Drosophila melanogaster: one gene and its partners. Changing the gene in region 3 together with the main gene of any one other region gives a genetic interaction. Each region holds a gene or a part of one and is shown on either strand. Other genes may lie near its edges. The genes, in order: Abi, Sema5c, Lar and ckn.

The links.
Region 1: of Lar (region 3) and Abi, changing one enhances a phenotype caused by changing the other (phenotypic enhancement), as found in Drosophila melanogaster (one study listed by BioGRID).
Region 2: of Lar (region 3) and Sema5c, changing one suppresses a phenotype caused by changing the other (phenotypic suppression), as found in Drosophila melanogaster (one study listed by BioGRID).
Region 4: of Lar (region 3) and ckn, changing one enhances a phenotype caused by changing the other (phenotypic enhancement), as found in Drosophila melanogaster (one study listed by BioGRID).

The regions. Positions count from the first base shown.
Region 1 is NT_033777.3:14,118,758-14,124,204, reverse strand, and holds Abi (abelson interacting protein), read left to right. Parts: upstream 1-1,784; 5' UTR 1,785-1,927; intron 1,928-1,955; exon of another isoform or gene 1,956-2,092; 5' UTR 2,093-2,103; coding exon 2,104-2,459; intron 2,460-2,735; coding exon 2,736-3,358; intron 3,359-3,419; coding exon 3,420-3,510; intron 3,511-3,582; coding exon 3,583-3,594; intron 3,595-3,732; coding exon 3,733-3,920; intron 3,921-3,976; coding exon 3,977-4,140; 3' UTR 4,141-4,943; downstream 4,944-5,447. Other genes in the region: twf (twinfilin), read right to left, coding at 18-170, 455-1,230, 1,332-1,409, 1,469-1,493.
Region 2 is NT_037436.4:12,078,788-12,083,490, reverse strand, and holds the start of Sema5c (semaphorin 5c), read left to right. Parts: upstream 1-1,660; 5' UTR 1,661-2,139; coding exon 2,140-2,144; intron 2,145-2,532; coding exon 2,533-2,696; intron 2,697-3,450; coding exon 3,451-3,550; intron 3,551-4,703. UniProt on the Drosophila melanogaster protein: Regulates the motility of migrating epithelial cells by providing guidance cues within the migratory environment and may also play a role in development of the olfactory system. May act as a positive axonal guidance cue.
Region 3 is NT_033779.5:19,604,799-19,609,622, reverse strand, and holds the start of Lar (Leukocyte-antigen-related-like), read right to left. Parts: upstream 3,055-4,824; 5' UTR 2,542-3,054; intron 1-2,541. UniProt on the Drosophila melanogaster protein: Possible cell adhesion receptor. It possesses an intrinsic protein tyrosine phosphatase activity (PTPase). It controls motor axon guidance. In the developing eye, has a role in normal axonal targeting of the R7 photoreceptor, where it negatively regulates bdl.
Region 4 is NT_033778.4:14,961,618-14,966,328, reverse strand, and holds the start of ckn (caskin), read right to left. Parts: upstream 3,038-4,711; 5' UTR 2,404-3,037; intron 646-2,403; exon of another isoform or gene 330-645; intron 1-329.

The DNA of each region.
Region 1 (5,447 bases), on a different chromosome or scaffold from region 3:
GGGATCGGGATTCAGACTTAGTCCTCTGCGGTGGGACGCGTGAGGCGCTTGGCGCCTCGGTTTGGTGGCCCCTTGGGCTTGGCAAAAGCCGGTCGGTGTAGAATCTTCTTTGGGTGCAGCTCGTCCTGCAAGAAGGCTTCGGTCAGCTCGCTGCCGCTGTCGATTTCAAGCTGAAATGTAAAACGTTGTTAGAAACATGAATCAGATTTAGTATGATTTAAAATTACTCATTATTTATGATTTACAGATTTCTATTTCAAGTGAAAAGTGAGACATTCGCCCTAATTATGATTCAAAATATTTCTAGAGATCGTGAATCAAAAGTATAGTGAATGTGGCGATTTGAAAGCAATAAATAAATCACAAACAATATATACCCTGCTTTTGCTTTTTATAGCCCTAATCTTTAGTGCTATTAGCGCAGCCACACCCACTCGCATTCATATCAACTCACCTTCTTAACAACCTCCACGCCAAGGGCCGCGAGCTCGTCGAGAAAAGGAGCCTTACAGCTTGAGTACATCATGCGCTCGCGCACGGAGCAGGAATATCCAGGCATGGAGTAGACGAACACGTACGACTCAAAGTAGTCGCCCTCGTGCGTGTGCCGAAACAGGAAGAGGTGGTATCGTGCATGATCCTCGGGCACTTGCTTCGGCAGATCGGCGAGCTCCACTTTGGCCGCACGCGAAACATGGATCTGTTCCTCCTCCAGATCGATGCGGAACTGAAGGTAGTCGTGCTTGCCGCGCACCAAATCCTGAACGGCAGCCACGGTTGCCTCGCTCAGCGGGCAATTGATCCCACCCAGAGTTTGGTGCCGCGTATTCGTATTGATCTCAGTGTGAACCTCTGTCTTTCGCAGCTCTTTCAGCTCCTCCTCCCTGCTGGTCAATGGAGCTGGGGCTGCGAAATCCTGCTTGTGCCGGCGATAGCCCTCCAGCGTGCACTCATCCAGAGTGGTGGCATGCAGCTCCTCTGTGATGTATGCTGATCCGAACTCCGTTTTCAACGTGGCCTTCGTGGAAGCGTATACCATCTTCTGTCGGATGCTGGCCGTGTCCGGCGTCCAGCTGATAAGTAGCCAACTGTAGCCCAGCGGGATCTTGGCGTCCAGGCGATAGAGAATATAGCAGGGCACATCCTTTTCCAGTAGGGGACCTATAAGCTTGTCGTAGTCGCGCTCCCAATCCTTTTTCGTCTCCGCCGTGGCGCCGCAACTAAGCTGCTCTGTAATTTGGGGCGGGGTGAAAACGGATGCGGGTTCGTTATCAAATCGTATGCCTAGTATATATCTTGTGTATATACGTTTCTGGATTAAATCCACTCACCATTCTCGATCGAAACTTTTATCACGCGAAATTTACCATTCTTCGCTTTGCCGAACACCTTGGCCAGCTGCTCGTTGGCTGAAAATACAAAGGGTGTTCTAAGGATGCGGATTAGGTGGTTCCCAAAGATAACAAACCTCGGATACCCGTTTGGTGAGACATTTGGACAACAGCTAAAATTAATATTGCCGAAAAAATATATTACTCACAACCAGTGTGACCGCAAAGCGCGAGTAGGGAAATACTAAACCGGGAAATATGTACCGATTCTGATTGGCAATCACTTCAAAGCGGCTTTAAATGTGTAAAAAAAAAAGAATTATTAATTAAAAAGATACTGTAATGCTATTTTTATAACTAAATTTTGGGAAAATTTTTAACACTCTGTTTTATAGAACATACATTTCAAAAATAATACCAAATGTGTCTGCACTGATACAGTGTTGAAAAATTCTTCAAGCTCCAGTACTTTGCAGCACAGGCCAGCGTTCTTTCTTTTTTCACGGAAAATGTAATGAAAAACTGCATTTAACTGCATTTAAAACGTAGCAACTAGCCCGGAAAAGCATCTGTTGTGCAATCGCATAGTCAATAAAGTGAGTGCACGCGAGATTCGTCCGATTAAACCGCTCCAGCGATCAACTGGAGCAGCTGGGCGTCGACGTCGGCAGAGGCCAGCCCACGCCCCAAATGTTTACGGGCGTGAAAAGTGCGGAAAAGCGAGGAATTTAATTGGGTTTTCGTTTCCCGTTTGCCCGCAGCATCCACACCCATGTTGACCGAAACCCCCATGGCCAGCGAGAACATCATGGACGAACTAGCCTCTCTGATACGCACCGAGATCCCCGATGGCCGCCAGAGTCTGCGGGACAGCTACACGAACCTGGAGCGGGTGGCCGACTACTGCGAGGACACCTACTACCGCGCGGACAACAAGAAGGCGGCCCTGGAGGCCACCAAGAACTACACCACCCAGTCGCTGGCCAGCGTGGCCTACCAGATTAACACGCTCGCCTATAGCTACATGCAGCTCCTCGAGCTTCAGGCCCAGCAGCTCGGCGAGATGGAGTCCCAGATGAACCACATCGCCCAGACGGTGCATATCCACAAGGAGAAGGTGGCCAGGAGGTAAGAACAACAAATTGCTTAAACTAGAATAGGAAAAGGGGATATGCATATTTTAAAACGACAAAGAATACGGAATGAACATTTTTGTCTGTAAGTACGACTCATCGGTGATAAAAGCTTCATAGAGAAGAAATGTACATTCATACATGCGTCGTCAGACGTGCTGATAAGACTGAACGTCTCTTTCTTCATTCTTTTCCTACATAACTATTTAGTTTTTTCAATTCACTTTATTTGTATTAATTATTTTTGATTATCTTCATTGTCTTTTCTCAGAGAGATTGGCGTGCTTACGGCTAACAAGGTGAGCTCGCGCCAGTTTAAGATCGTGGCGCCCATCAATCCGGAGAAGCCCATCAAGTATGTGCGCAAGCCCATCGACTACTCGATGTTGGACGAGATTGGCCACGGCATTAACTCGGCCCAGCACTCGCAGGTGCGACAGAAACATCGGGGCTCCAGCCATGGGTCCGTGCAATCCTTATTGCCGCCGTCGGTGGGACCTCCGCCAACCACGAAGCCCCCAACTCCGCCGCAGATGTCGCGAGCTGGGAACACTGGCACACTGGGCAAGTCGGTCAGCAATACCGGGACACTGGGCAAGAGTTCGCGGGAGTACCGCACTCCGCCTGTGGTCAATCCACCACAGGTGCCATCGCACTACGCTCCCAACTATCCTATTGGGCATCCAAAGCGAATGTCGACGGCTTCTTCAACGATGACTACCACCACCACAGGCGGCGGAGCGGCGGGCAATGAACGAGCTGCTGGCTACAGTGCACTTCCGATGCCACCCAGCCAGCAGATAGCCACACATGTAAACCTGCCCTCCGCGGGCATGATGCAATCGCTGCCACCACCGCCGCCCACTACGTACGACGATCGCAGCAGCATGCCACGTGAGTTAATTTGATTATTCTGCAATAGCTCAATACTAATAATGCGGTTTGCAATTCGTAGCAGCTCCTCCTTCACCACTTACGGTTTCGCAGCACGAGATGACCGAGCAGAGTCACATTGGCATGCACACTTTGGGACGCAATATCAACAGGTAAGTTTCTGGAAAATGCAATCCCTTCTTTGTGTAAATATAACCTATTTATTGTTCTCTGTGCAAATCCAGGAATCCAAATAGGTAAATTGCATGTTTCTCTGTTTATCATAGGGTTATACTCAGCTAAAAAAAGTTATACTAGGTTTTCGTGTTTGTACTGTGTATAACTCCATGAAATTCATATGTTATCTTGTATATTAAACGCGTATTTTTCCAAAGGAATCACTTCAGCTTGAACTTCGCTCGTCCCGGCTCACAGTCGCCTCCCTTGCCACCTCCGCCGCCGCCGGAGGATGAGCATCAAGACTTCGGACGACCACGCACATCGACGGGACCGCAGCTGGCGCCCATAGTGCCCGAGGATCAGAACTTACCCGGCTGGGTGCCCAAGAACTTCATTGAGAAGGGTAGGCTGATTGGAGCAACTAACAATATACCTTACTAATTCTTACAAACATTCCAGTGGTAGCCATTTACGACTACTATGCCGACAAGGACGACGAGCTGAGCTTCCAGGAAAGCTCAGTGCTGTACGTGCTCAAGAAAAACGACGACGGCTGGTGGGAGGGCGTCATGGATGGTGTTACCGGTCTGTTTCCGGGCAACTACGTAGAGCCTTGTGTCTAAGCCTCGCATCGATATTCTAAACATGCCAACCATTACAATAATCTGCATCATCTGGTCTGTTCCAGTCCTCTGCTGCTTCTCAAGAGCTCCAAAAAATTTCAATTCAGTTATCGGAGAGTTAGACTGAGGACCGCAACAGACTCAGCTGACAATGACGATAAGATTTTGAGCATATTAATAAGGACAATTATACAATTACACACCTACACAAGCACAGCAGGCCAGAGAAAGCGAATTCCATTAGCATCAGCCAACCGCATTTAGTCTAATATAAACGAGCACACAAACACACAGAATCCACGGGCTAGGGATACCGCTTGCTGCCCAACTAAAACTATTTACACTTTAGTAGCCGAAAACGATGCAAGAAGGGGAAAGTGAAACCGGATACCCGTGAATAACTTATGCGATATTATAAAACTGTTCCACAACCGTAGACGAATTCTGTCCTGCTCCTGCCGCCAATCCAAATACTTTAAATATTTGCTCACAGTTTTATCAAGCGATTTCTGTTTGCCTTGCGCTTTGATATGCCCGGCTATTATACACCAATACTACCCGAACCTATGCCCCCAGCAATACTGTAGGTTATATAAATTTCAGTTAGCATTTAATACTTAAGTATTGGCCAGTTGGAACTTTTGTTTATACTTTTACGAACCGCAACGATGTCTTTTTTTTGCGAACGTTTAGTTAAAATGGAATTGCCAGCAAAGGAATCAAATTAAATTAAACAATACAAGTACACATACGCTCTATATGGTAAAAATAATAGCTAATAAAAATTTCAATTACTAAACCGCAAGCCCTTGTTCTATGACCGTGTAATTTGCGCTGACCTTCTCGTGAGTCGAGCCCCGGATGTCAGTAAAAATCCGTAATTGGGGCAAGGCTCTGTGGCCTGCCAAATTCAAATTCGAAATCTCAAATGCAAATTTCAAGTCGTGTGATGGAAGGCTTGAAATATTTGCAAATGCCAACACTCATTGGGGTCATTCAGTCAGTCAATCAATCCATTATAATCGACACTTTGCTCTACAAACCGATTTCAATTCAATGTCTCGTCCCGGAAAACTTTTCCATAACTCGGCTCCGGGTAAATTAATGCTTTCGTGGTGATATGTGGAAGGTTTTTTACCCATTTGCTAAATTTATTATCAGGTTTCGAGGAGTTGACGTGGCGGAAATGCCAGAAAAAAGTGGAGTGCTGGCATGATTTGCATAAAATGTGCTAAATTGTTGCCCACTTTTTGGGCCCCTCAACTATACATACATAAATATGGAAATACCTTTATTTGTGAACAATT
Region 2 (4,703 bases), on a different chromosome or scaffold from region 3:
CTGGCAATGTTTTGGGCCTATGCTAATGTCGATCGTTGTCTGCCCACACTCAACTTTAACTCCCGGATCGAATTGAAACGGATTGGACGGATGGCATCGGTCCTCATGTTTGTGTATCCCTTGGGTTCGTGCTGTGGCATAAACAAAATCCGAGGATCGTGTTGCAGTTGCATTCAAGTTGAGGTTACTGCACCTTCGGGACGGTCCATTTGATGGTTTCGTATTTGTTCTCAGCGACCAGCTGTGTTTTCACACTTACTCTGGGAGTCAAGGCTGACAAAGATCTGAATAGTACAGCCTGGGATGTCTGCAGTAAAAGGAAAACCTTGGAAGGAACACTAAAAAAATAGAACAAAGCCCCACCAGGTGAATGAGCAAAACTAATCCCGTGAAAATGCGTCATATCTGTTGTTGTTCCTTAAATAAGAACTTTATGGTGTTGGACTTGAGATGAGTGATTCAGGTACTGTAAACTGTTGTACAAAGCATTAAAACACCGTTTATACTTCATTATGATAAAGAAATAATTAAATAAGTGATAAATCATTCCTTTTGTATCAAAAATATACTATACTATCTATCTGTATAGAATGAGAAAATCTATTAAATCATTTGTTTTGGCGCCATTTCTATGATTTGCTAATCGAGTATCTTTGCTGATGGGCAAAAACGTCGCAAGGCGGAAAAGATAGGATCTGTTGATCCCTCGTCTGGAGGAATATATCACGTGTCCTCGAACCGCGACGTCGGCAATACTAATGTCAATTTGTCAGGCTACCAAATCGAAGCACAGCAAGTGCCCGTCCCACCCTCCAAGTGGCTTCTCTATACCTCTTCGCGGAGCTGCACATCCCGATCCCGATCCCGGAGATTCAGATTCTGATTCTGAAGAGTCGTTCTCGTTGTCGTTGTCGCATGATATATGAGCGCCCTGCCCAGTTGCTGCTTCGGCTGCCGTAGCCGCGCCTCTTAACTCCCAAGCAGACACTGAGAGAAATTCGTACTTACTTTTGTGGGATGACTTGAAAAATAAATTTGGATTGCTATTACTATCTAAGAGACTTGCCCTTAAATTATTCGATTTAACAAACAGTTCAGTTAAAATAATAAATTACAAAGATGAAAATAAGGTCTTTTAATTATTTTATTATTATTTTTTATTTTTATTTTTACAGTTGAATTATATTATATATAGTTTTTAATTCATTGGATTATTTCATAGGTAAGGACCTCAAAACTATGCTACACTTCTGTGTACTTATAAATTTTATGAATTAAGGCTTGAAAAGTCTTTAACATTTAAGATACTAGCAGAAAATCATTAAAAACGAATACACATAATTCTGAAAAATATTTCTTGAATAAATTATGTAAAATATATTTTCGTTTTTAAATTTTGAATCAAAGGAAAGCGAATTTTAAATATTTTTTTCCTTGTTGTATTGCACATTTTTTCCGAGTGCATTCTTCAAGCCGAAATTGAGCCGGTTATCTTCGTCGGCGTTTTAGCCTGTTCTCTCTTGTTTGCCTCGGCGTTTTTTTTTTGTTTTGCGTTCGTGCTTCGTTTTCACGTTTTTGTTTTCGTTCCATTCGCTTCTCTGTCTCACTCTCTTCTCTCTCTATCGACTGACTATGGATCCGAATCCGAATCCATGGTGGGTTCAGTTTCTTGCGACTCTTTGCGCGGTCAACTTCGCCGATCGGTCGGGCATGCGCGTCCGTATAACTCGTATCTGAATAATCATAAGAGTAGGAAATCGAGGCAGAAGTAAAAACCCGTCTCGCTATATTCGTCGACCGTGTTGTTGGTGTCTATCTGTGTCTTTTGTCAATGTTTTTAACCCAACTCCACTTGAGGGGGAGCCAATCCGCCTTTCTTCTGAAAATTTCTTTCAAATAATACGAAAATCGTATGGAAAATTGAAAAATTGTGAGTGTTGTGTGCAAAGTGAACCACGGTGATCGTAGTTACGGTCAGATCATCTGAAGAATCAGAAACACGCGCCTTGCTCGATTCCCCTGCTTATCAGGCACATGCCTATATTATACAATTTACCAACAGTCTTTTACAATCTGTTCGCCGCAAAAGTTGAATGGAATAAATTTTAGTCTTTTATTTTGCACGAAACGTGACACTAAATGAAGTAAGTTTCGACTATCTCATCTGTATAATCGACGTTTTTTGCTGTTTACAATTTTTGTAATATTTTTTGAGGAAGTGTAAAGTGCTGCAACAAAAACTTATTACTAATCTTCAGGACAGATTAAGGGGTTTCTGTTAAATAGTGAAACATAATTCAAAATGAAATATAATTTAAACTTATTTAAAAGCTAGTGTTTAAGGAATTATTGAAGACAATTTTAATTTAAAAAATTTAAGAACTGTTATTTCTGAGTTGAAAAGAGGATAAATAACATTTAAGAAGAAATTGAGTTAGCGTTTGTTGAACGTCGATAATTAGTTAAAAATGTATGAAAAACTATATTATATCCACAACACACATTACAACTTCATTTCTTTTCTTTTTGCAGCATGTTAATACTGAAACTTCCCAAAATGTTTAGCCAACTGTGGCTTCTTCTGATTCTATCGCTCTTAACCCTAGAAGGCCCACAGCCTTCGACGGGCAGTGGTTATACGACAAAATCAAGTGTGGATTTGCTGGAAAACGATTCGCGATACATCTCATATCAAGGTGAGTTCTCGAGGTGGGCGGATTATCAAAAATTACTCGAAACTGTGTCAATTGCACGGCAATCAATCAAGTTGGCCACTTGAAGCGGTGGAACTGTAAATTGGGTTGATGTCTGTCAAAGTTCTAAGTGATTCCGAGAGTCTGCTGCAATCGATTGCACAAATGTTCGGTTCGATCGAACAGGTGCCATTTCGAATACAACGAATACACCCATCTGCCCAACTGTTTGTATTTGCACGGAATGTCAACAATGATCTCGATTTAACCGAGTTCCCCAACAAACCGCTTTTATGACACCCCAATACATTCGTGTATCTGCTGCTTTTAATCAGAAAAAGTTTCGCATTTTGTTAAAATATTTGTTCTTTTTTTGTGATTTTTGCACTGAAATGTATCTCGAAGTCCGTCTTAAAATGCGAACTCAGCCCAACGTTGTGTTGACAATGATTTTAATTTTTGTTTAGCGCTTTTTTATTTTATTTCGCACTTAAATATTGAAAAGTATATGTTTTACCAATGAATCAGTGAATCTTTTAAAAACCTTGAAAAATATGGGTTAAATAAAATTGAGCTTAATTGTGCCAAGATGCCAAAATGTTTTAATAAATTTGCAATATAATTGCTGAGATAATAATTGCTTATATAATAATTGCTAATATAATTGCTAATAAAACTTCAATTAAATTGCTTAGTATTTGTTTTTACGATTTTGTGCAATCTTTTTCTTACAAAAATGTTTTTATTTTCTTAACAGATTTAATGTCGACGGCCAAACGATTTTACGATCCCGAAACGACCTGGTATTCGGAAATGCTATTCGACGTGGCCAGGAACCAAGTGATTGTCGGCGCCAGGTAAAAACCGGGAGGCTATTGTTATTAGTTATTATAGATTTTGTTTCCGGCCAATTGAGTCACGGCTAAGCCGTGTACCTAGTCATTATGACTGTTTTTATTTTTCCTGTTGCGTCAAAACCCCAAAGATATGTACTGTTTGAAGGACTTGCTTTTTAATTAGTCTCACCGATAAGTGGGTCATTATTTTGGGCATTGATAGCGATAAGAAATGAAAAGGGAAAACACCCCCGAAAATAAATCGTCACTTAAGCATTTGTTAACTTTGGGTTATCAGCAGAGAGGCATTACGTAAAATTCGACGATCAGAAGAAAATAAACAGATGCATTGCGTACGTAAAACGGGTACTGATTATATTCGTCTTCTGTGTTTTTTTAGCGTATTACGCAAGTTACAAAAAAATACACAAAAGTGTATAAAAATGAAAGTGCACGCACTGGTATACCAAAGATTTTTTACATATCAACCAAGATCGACCAAAAACAAAAAAAACCCCTCGTCGAGAACTTATCTCAAGTACCTGCTGTGCGCAAGTGAATAAATAAAGATAATTGAGTGTAAAAAAAAGAATAAAAAAATTAAGAAAAGAGGGAAAGGGAACAAAACCGAAAAGGTAACCAAATAATAATATTGCAGCGCCGAGGGAGAAGTGGTATACTCCGTTTATTTGTTGAGCAATTTAATATACGCGTTTCGAGATACAAAAGTATCTGTCGCTTTAGCCGGGTTACTCGGTTCTTGTAGTTTACTTTTCATTTACGCGTCTTGAAGTTTGTTTGTTTCTGCTTCGCATAGATATGGATGCGATACTACTCCACCTCTGTCGGAAAAAAAAACACGATAAGATACACACATGGACGCATGTGTCTATAGTGTCGTCATGTTGATAAACCCACCTTAACCCATTGCTGCCCGGGAAGGGAAGTCGTTTATCATGTTCCCTTGTCGTCAATCATTTGTCATACTTTTCAGTTTCAGTTTTAGTTGCCTTTTCTATTCTTTATTGCCTACGATTTTCACTTCGACCATAACTCCACTCTGCCATATTTTTTGTTGCTCTCTTATTTACCAACCTCTGAATTATGGCATAATGATAAGAGCCCGATATTAAAAAAAAAAAAAAAGAAAACCGTTTGTAGCGAAGGGCAGTTG
Region 3 (4,824 bases):
AAAGCGAAATCACGAGAATCACGACTGCAGGTAGGTCCGTGGCATATGTACGTATGCATGTTTTTGCGTCCATCTCCGTATATATATATATATATGTATGTATGTATGTATATGTATGCACTTGTAAAAATCAATTAAACTTTTCAAGTGAAGTTATAATGGCTGGCAACCCTTTCGAGCACTCACACTCATTTTTCTGCTTGATTTTTTGCGGACTTTCGACTTTCCCCTACATACATACATACACATATATTGTTTTTGTTGCCTCTGGCTGTTCAGTCAGTTTCTTATTGTTTTCATAGCCTTGCAACGCCTTGTTGTTGCAGTTGTCAAAAGTTTTAAAATAATTGGATTTTTTTCGGTCTCCATGTGCGAACGAGTGAGTGAGTGAGAGCACTGTGAGCACAGAACACGAACATCGGAATGTCGACGACTGCAGCCGAAAAAAAGGAGAGAGAGAGGTGGTGGAAAATGGAGGTATTGCCGCCCCCAAACTCATTCTATATAAATTAAAATTTCTTTGTTGCAAACCCCTTCGCGTTCACACACACACACACACCGACATCCAGACACAGGAGGGTACTTAATGCAGGATTGCTGCAGTCATCCAACCAACGCCATCATCACGAGTATTACCCAATTTCCAGCTGAAGTTTTCAACACCAAATTGTAAACGTCAACAACAAGCGGCGAAAAAGAAGAGTGGGCGTGGCCGATCAGCCGCCTTTATATAGCCAACGATGGCATGACGAACGAATGGTAAAACGCTGTTTGAACAGTGAGAATGGAAGGTGGGGGGGGGGGGGGTGCCCATTGAAGTACTAGTCCTTTTGCTTTGGCTCCAACTGAGGCCCATAGGGCTAATGGGAGTGGGGATAGTTCGAGTCGCTGTGAAATGCAAAGAGCAAATTAAGCCCCCTCTCATTTATCAATATCAATCCATCCATCTATATATATATATATATCTAGCTACTGTTTTCATTCAATAGGAGCAACCACATGTTAATATAATAAACAAGTTACATAGTAATTTCAACTTGGTCAGCACCTAATTAACCCCAAGCCCTGCGAACGATGTATCAAGCGATATAATTTCAATTAGGCTAATGTAAGCCATAGAATAGCCTATAGTTTTTAACAACCATATCCTACGATTTTCGATTCTGTTTCTGCCAAAGAAAGTAGCCCTTACCACTTGTGAAGCCTACTTTGGGTATTCGTTATACATGGCGTATGCGTATTATTTTACACTGGCGCAGAAAAAACGTTTTTGTTTCAAACCTCATTTCAAGTTTGGATCGAAAAAGGAATGAAAGGAAAAATTTTTACTTCGCCCCTTCGTCGGCAATTTTTCTCCTTTCTGCTTCTGCTTCTAATAAAAACACTTGACACCAAAAACGAGGAAAGTTCCTTGAGGCAAGTGGTGAAAGACATTTTAGGTTGAGTTGTGTTGTACGAGTTTCTACAACGAAAATATTAAATACTTGTCAAAACACTTGGAAAGGCTTTTTTTCAGAATATTTACTTTTATAAGTTTTATTGAGAATTTACTCAAAAATAATATTTTATACTAGAGAATTGAGCAGAAGGCTCTGAATAAGGAACTCGCTTGAAAATATTGAATAGCAGATAATGTCAATTGAAAAATGCTTCATTTTGAGAACAGCTTTAAGCATTAGTAAACATTTTGGCTTTAAAACAACCTATATATATAGAATCTTATTTAGCTTTGCAAGGCCAGGCCAAACTTAAATTTTCTTGAGCTCTTGCCAAGAACTTCCCATTACTTGCCGAGGACATAACTATGTCAATCTGCAGACCCACACTCACACAGGACACACACTGCAGTCCTTTTTTCGCCTTAGCTGAAAATCACTTCGCAGCTGGTCCTAAAACGATTTTAGGCCGCTCCAATCACAAACACACACTCTCGGCACACCCGAATCGGAAGGCAGCGAAAACATCAGCCACAACAATCCTTGCAGGACGCAGCGTTATTTTCGCACCAAACTGCAGGAAACCCCGCCAGGACCTCAATCGAAAAAGAACTGTGAAAAATTGCCAACCGTTTCGCTTTGAGGCCAAAAGGAGCGGGCCGAAAAAAGAGCTGCTCGCTCGTAAAACTGCAAATGAAAATAGATAAAAAGTATCTGTCGTCCCAACCAGTAAACTTCATTTTGTAAATCAATTGAATTTTCAATTGTGTGCGAGCAAACTAAACCAAACCAAACCAAACCACGACGAAACGACGGAGCACAAAAAGAAAAAGTAGGTAAACATAAAAGGACAAATAAAGGAAACGACACTATTACGGAAGAAAGGATGGGGAGACCGAAGGAATCCCCTTCTCCCCGGGGCAATCGTTTCAATCTCCATCTCGAGCAGCGGCACAGGATTGCCGTTTCTTATTAGCAGGGCCAGGACGATAAGGATAAAGTCCATATATATATCGATATTCATAAGGAAATTCCAGGTCACACGCACACACCACACACCAGGCTTCTGATAATTTTCAGAGTTTGTTTTCTCTTTAGATTTTACCGATTTATCCGCCAGGTATTATCGGCTACGTCAGTTGTTCTTCGGTAATTATGTTTCGCGGAAGTTCCTCGCCTGCAACTCGGATGGTGTAATTATGGGAATAATTTTTTAACCGGCTTGCGGCAAAACACGTTCACAAAAACAAGTGCACACATATGTACGAGTACAGCGGCAACAACGAGTTAATGGAGAAAGGGTTGAAGGGGGTTGAACCGAGGCAAGCCGAGGAGTTCGACGATTTGGTTTTTGGTTAACTTGGCTAAAATCACTTTGCCGGATTTTCGAAATGCTGCGGCTCTTTGCTATTGCATTATAACCGAGTACGATCTGTGGTTATGTTATATCACTCGAAATTGGATTCAAACGATTCGTTGGATTTTTTGCGAATTTTGTGTAATATACAATTTGCTGTCGCGCTGCTTGTTGCCCGATTATCGCACACACACGGCTGAGAAGGACGCGCTCTGTTTCTTACACGCTCGTTACATCCTGCCAAATCCCGAAATTGTACTAAATACGTACAAAACTTTTACGATTGGCTAAGGCTGCTAGCAGCAATGCTCGTGTTTTCCTCGCGTTCAGTGTGTGCGTTTGTGAGTCGCCACTCGACCCGAAGAGTCCTTCAGCGTGCCCGAGGATGCGCCGACCGAGCGCCGAGTGTGGTGGATTTTTCCGGAGAGCGGAAAAGCCGAGAAATTCGCCAGCCGAAGCTGCGAGCGATGGAAGAGAAACACCAAAGGATGGCTACTCAAAAGGAACTCACTTTGTACTCAGAACTCAATCGAATAGACAAACCATTCTGGGAAATGTTAAGAGCACACAAATCGGAGTGATTCTAAATAGCATTCAAAAATCACTCAGTTTAAAATGTTATGGAACAGTTGAGTGCAAGGAATATTTGATAAAATAACATAAAATAAATTTGAAAAAAATGTAAAATAAACTGAGAGGAATTACGAAACATCATTTTTAGCATGAGTTTCAAAAAATATTTTATATTTAATATAAAATTGGGATTTTCTTTAGCATTATAAAAATTATTATTTAATTCTTATAAATGTATGGGAATGGTAAATCCAGTTTACACTGCTCGCTCGATTCGAGCTAATTTATTTAACATTGAGATAATCACTGAGTGCTTTTATAGCAAAACCAGCAATGTTTCTCTTAGAGTGAAGTGCTTGCTGGGTAATAACATTTATAGCTCAACTAAAAAGGACTCGAATTGCAGACGCAAAGAGTACAGGCTTATATGAGAAATGTAAACGCATTTTAAATGCTCAAAGGCAACAAAACAGACTCACTCAATTTCGAGATTCGAGACCTGCGAGGCTTAGAACATGAAACCAAAGAGAAGCAAATCTGCGATTAAGGCAACTCAATCCTTCTCAGCAAGGACTTGCTCGAAGAGAGCCTGGTGAGATGGCTAAACGAGCTTTCGACGTGGGTGAATCGGAAAGGTTCGGCTTTTAGGCGCCGAGCCCGTCGACGAAGGTGAAAAGCGAATCGCGTCCACGAAAAGCCCGCCATTGACTTTGACCGTCGTTCGCCAGTCGTCAGTTTCAACTGGAGCGGCGGGCAGTAAGCTGAAATCGGCTGAAAGGACGAGCTGGCAGGATATTTCGCAGAAGGGCGAACCAGCGCAGTGCCGAGCAGGAAAAGGCGAGAAACGGCCTGTGCTAATTTTCCTGGCTAGCTAGATTTTTGGCGCGCTCCAGATTTAATCCTGCAGTCTAAGTGAATGTGAAATGTAACAAGCCAAGTGACAGTTACCAAAAGTCAGAAGACAAAAGGAAGGGAGGAAAGCTAAAAGGCAGAAAGCCACCGAACAGATGGAAACAACTCGCAGATGCTGATGTTCCTGCCCCAGGAGACATTTAACATAATAAAAACGAACGTGTGCGGCATTTTGTGTTGCCTTTTGGCCAAGTTAACTCCTGTTCCTGCATCTGTGTGTGTGTGTGTGTGTGTTCGTTACATGCTAATATCACAGACACTCGCCCGCGCACAACCCACACAAACTTACAAACAAACAATATTGCAAATGTGTGCGTGAGGCAGTTGGCCAAAGTGTCGTAAATCGTTTAGACAGCGCGACGTGGCCCAGAAAAAGGAGATGAGGGCCAAAAAACGATATGTAAACGACACAGCAGTCGCCGTGGGAAAAACTGGGAAACGCCAACAGAAAAAGCCAAGGAAACGAAGGATCCGACAATGAACTGCATTTGTTGCTCATGTGAGTATCCCGCCTCAAAGAAATTATCTCTTTTTTTTTTTTGTTTT
Region 4 (4,711 bases), on a different chromosome or scaffold from region 3:
AAGGTATGATTTTAATATAAGCGTGGGTATGAATTTTGAGAGTAACTGGCATATATAATACTAGAACCATTTACCAATTTATATGGCTTAAACTACTTTTTTTCGGTGTAGTCATTAATAATGAAGGGTAGTGCTCAGCGTTTTACAGCTAAATTGAACGTTTTGAGACTTTTTTAAGGCACTTGCCTTTTGCCCCGCCCACCGCCTACAATTTTCGGCGAAAAATCGTATGCGGCTTACTACTACGCACACACACACCACGAAACGTAGTCACACGCACACATGCGTACGATTTTGCAGAACAACTGTGCAAAAAATATGCAAATTACCATGTTAAAATGATGAATTCCTTCGAGATTTCTATGCGAATCCAATGATGACACTTAAAATTCACATTAACTGCGGTTTTCACCAAGATACCAATTGATTTTTCATACGATAAATGCTGTGCAAAAATTTCTTTTTACGTTAACACCAACACACACATGCACGCACTCAAACTCACACACATACACACACACACGCGCGCGCGGACATATACCGAGCAGAAAAGTAGCTGTGTGTTGAGAATTGGAGAATCGCAGACCCCGAGCGAGAGGAGCCCGAAAAAAGAGAAGCGCCGACGACCGCAAGCCAAAGCGTATTGAATCGCGGCTCCAGCATTCGAGCATTAAAGCCAGGTCCGTAAAATCCGATTGGAGTCCGGAGTCCTCGAAGTTGTAAGTGAGAGAGACAGAGAGAGCGAGCCAGCTGAGCGAGCTCCAAAGGAGAGCGAATGCGCAACTTGTACTTGTACTTGTCCTCCCCTTCCCCTCCCCTTCCTTTCTATCATTCTCTTGCAAGGAGAGAAAACCATTTTTCTCAGCGGCCAATTTGTTGCAATTGAAACAATAACAATTCCGCTGGGCAATTTGTTTCGGGCCTGGCAAATTAGTTAGTTAATAAATGAATGAAAAGGGGGACCGAGGGAAAGGCGGTAGTGAAAGAGAAATGGGAAAACAAAGCGTAGCTTCAATAAGCAGGCACAAGCATTATTCCCTAAAGTGGTTGCCATTGGCAACGATGGAAATGCACTTGGCACAGTGGAACCGCTTACTGAAGGCGGCTACAAGAAGTTCACCGAAGTTCTGCTAAAGCCCTAAAGTACCCAAACTGTAAGATACTATATACATATGTAAATATTAGATACTATATAAAGATTGAACATATTAAGTTGGGCTTCAAAAAGATAGAGCCCTATTTATACGTTCAATGTTCCTATATATAACTTCAAGTTGTAAGATATTAATAGATCGTTCAACTTGGTTTACTTTTCCATTGCAGCGAGAAGATTAATGAGAGGGAGTGGGGACAGCAATTGATAATCTCCTTATCTGTCCCACTGTGCGTTGAATGCCACGCAAAAGACAAACAAACCGAGGCACGCACACACACACACACACACACACACAAGCGAATGAACCAAGCACAACCACTTTTCATGCCGCACAAGGCAATAAGAGAAATAGAGAGATGGAGCCACTTGGGGAGAGAGCGCAAGAGCGAGCGAGGCTCCATCGGCGGTAACTCTATTTGAGAACCGCGCAGCTGCATGCTCTCGCTCTCTTTCTCTGCCTCTAATCTCTTGGTGGAGCCATTGCCGCCCGACTCCCCTCCCCAACCGTTATTCTAACACTTCATTGGAGACAACGACATCAAGTCATTTGATTCCCACACAAATCTCTGCATATTGAGCGCGGACTCTCTCTACATCTCCAGCTATCTCGCTCTCACTCGTTTTATTATGGCAAGTGAGTTATGGTTTTTCCGGCTGTGTGTGTGTAAGTGTGTACTGCTGCGCTTTCTATTGATTTATATGAGTTTTATGGCGCAATCTGAGCTATAACAGCCAAAGAGCAGAAAAAATTTACGTAGAGCGCTGGTCTCGATTTTAATTATGGCAAGGGACAATTATGCAAACGGAGAATTAATAAAAAAAAAGGAAAACAATAAAGAACAAGACTTTAAGTTTTATTACACTCCCACTACTCACGACCAGAGTTGTCACGTGTCGTTCGCAATGCCAGACACGTGTTCGTTTATTAATTACATAAGCCTAAACAGCGGCAGCTGCAGTCGTGAGTACCCCTCCTCCTGATTGTCTTTTGTTTCCTCTATTTTTTTGTTGAAAACCCAATTTCCTGCAGATGCTAAAGATGCCGCATTGAATACAAGGCGCATCGAAACAGCTGGCAACCCTCATAAGTGACAGATGGCGACGCCGACGTCGACGCAGGCAGCGCAGGACGAAGGCCGCATCAAAATAAAAACACAAAAAAGAGTTGCCGCCTGTCCGAAATGTACCAAAAACACCAAGACCCATTTAAGTGTAAACGTAATTAAGTGTACATATTATAAACTTACGTTAGCAGATAATATTACTATTTTCCAGGCTTTTGGCTAAGTTCTCTCCGCTCCTCCTCTTACCGTTCGACAAATCACATAAATCACAAGCGTAACGAAAGCTGGCACACAAAATGTAAACAATGTAAAACGCTCGTAATTGTTGCTTTTGTAGCTTAATGAATTTCACGTTTTTTATGGTTTTTTCCACAAAAACAAGAGACTAACAAACGGCATCAAACGCACGCAGACACATCCACTCGCACCAAAACTCACTGTTTGTTGTCTTTATTTTATGTCTACGACGCGCGAGTAAAACATAAAAACCAGATTAATTTCAGGCAGACGAAAATGTTGACGCTTTTTTTTTTGTTGGTTTCTTTTAAGCTGAATTTCTTGCTCAGTTGTTGTGGTCGCGAGTGCTCTTTTTTATTTGCTGAGCCGCCATTTTCTTTTGTGGCAATTTGTTGAGTTTTATTTATTTTTTTTATTTTCTCAGATATATTAAGCACTGCTTTCTTACTTTGTAATTATAATCACTTTACTTTGTTGTGATATCCGTACTTGTGATATATTTCGTTTTTGAATCTAACGACAAAAGAACGGGTTTCCGCTACAAACGTCCGAACAGCGGAAAAACGAAAACAAAACTTAGTGTGATCGCAGCGTGGCTGTTGGAAAATACCTCATTAATAAAACATCGATTGCACACAAAGTATTGACGTATCGATGTTTTAGTATTTTTGGGTCATCTGCTCAGTTTGTGTTTTGAAGTTGATGTTATAATCATCAAAAAATAATGTCTTTTGTATTTTTGCTTTAAATAGTGTTGTACGTACAACTTTTTCATTTATCACCGGTCATAATTGTTTTCCACCCCTGAAACCGGTGTGGAAGCTCAAAAATACCAATTATTTAAAAACGACCCCTAGCAGTGTTGGTAAACATGTTATTATTGAGGCACTTGCAGCACTCCCTTGTCGGTATTTTCTGTGCTGTCACTTCGCGTTCTCCGCTTTGTGCTCTCCTTCCACAACGAAATAAACGGAGAAATAGCAATGTTAGTTTTAATTCGTTTTAGCCATAACAATTAATTAAACGAGTGCGAGTGCCAGTGTCTTAATTAAAATGTATGTGGCGCACTGATTGGCTTTAATTTAAATGTTTCGTGCTGTTTGATTTGTCCCCTGTGTTATATTTGTGCGGCGTTTTGTGCATACTTTTTGTGGTTAAATAAACTAAAGGAACCAGTGTGAGTCGATTACTAAGCTTAAGCTTATTAAAAGTGTTAATGTTAAAAAAGCGGCGTCTTAATTGAAAAATGCTAATGAGTTAAAACAGGTTGGCGACTCTCCTGCTCGCTCTCGATGCCCTGCCTCCACTCTCTCTCTTTCTCGCTCATTTGTTGCACTATTGTTGTTGCGGCCAACTGGGTACTTTTAACAGTTACCTTGGTCAATGTACGGCATTAATTACGCTCAAATACTTAAGTACTGAGATGCCAAGTAAGCGGTGAAAGAAGGAGAGGCGAGGAGTAAAAATAAACTAATTTGCACACTCGCTTTGGCGTGCTAATTCCACTTACTTTTCTTCTTTTATTGTTTTGTGGGCGTTTTGCATGATTCACTCGCGTTTGTTTTGTCTTATTCGTTTTATCAACGTCTACGCATTTGGTGCAGCGCAAGCAACAACAACTACCTGTGGCATGCAGTTCGTTTGGCGTCTGCGTATGTGTGTGTGTGCCTCAAATGTCAAAGTTGACATTTGGTTTTGGGCGGGATTTCAAATTCGTGGGCAAAGAGAAAACGATAACAGAGAGAGCAATAGAAATTCATAAGTTCGTTTATCTATCAGATTCTGAAGATAATGCTACGACACTTTACAGTTAAGCTTCTACAAAATAACAAATCCTTAAAAAAGTTCAGTCAATGTATAAATATAAATATATTTCGCCACTAATAGTTTATTAAAATATATTTTTTTATTTAAACTAGAAAATAAAACTTACTTTTAGCTTAATTTGTAATTGTAAAATGTCTTTTTAATTTATTTTACTGTAAACCGCTTCGTTTTTAACTCGTATCTATTTACTCTTATTTTTGCAGTTTTCTGTTATCAATCTGTTTGTCTCTGTGTGTTACGTGATATCAAAATATTTTACCCAGCTAGCAAATGCAGAAAATGCCCTCGCAAATTCTGAACGACGGCAGCAGCGTCAGCTTGAATAGCGCCAGTATGAACATGGCCAATACGCCCAATAGTATAACGGTAAAGACCGCCTACAATGGCCAGATTATCATTACCACCATCAACAAGAATATCTCATACG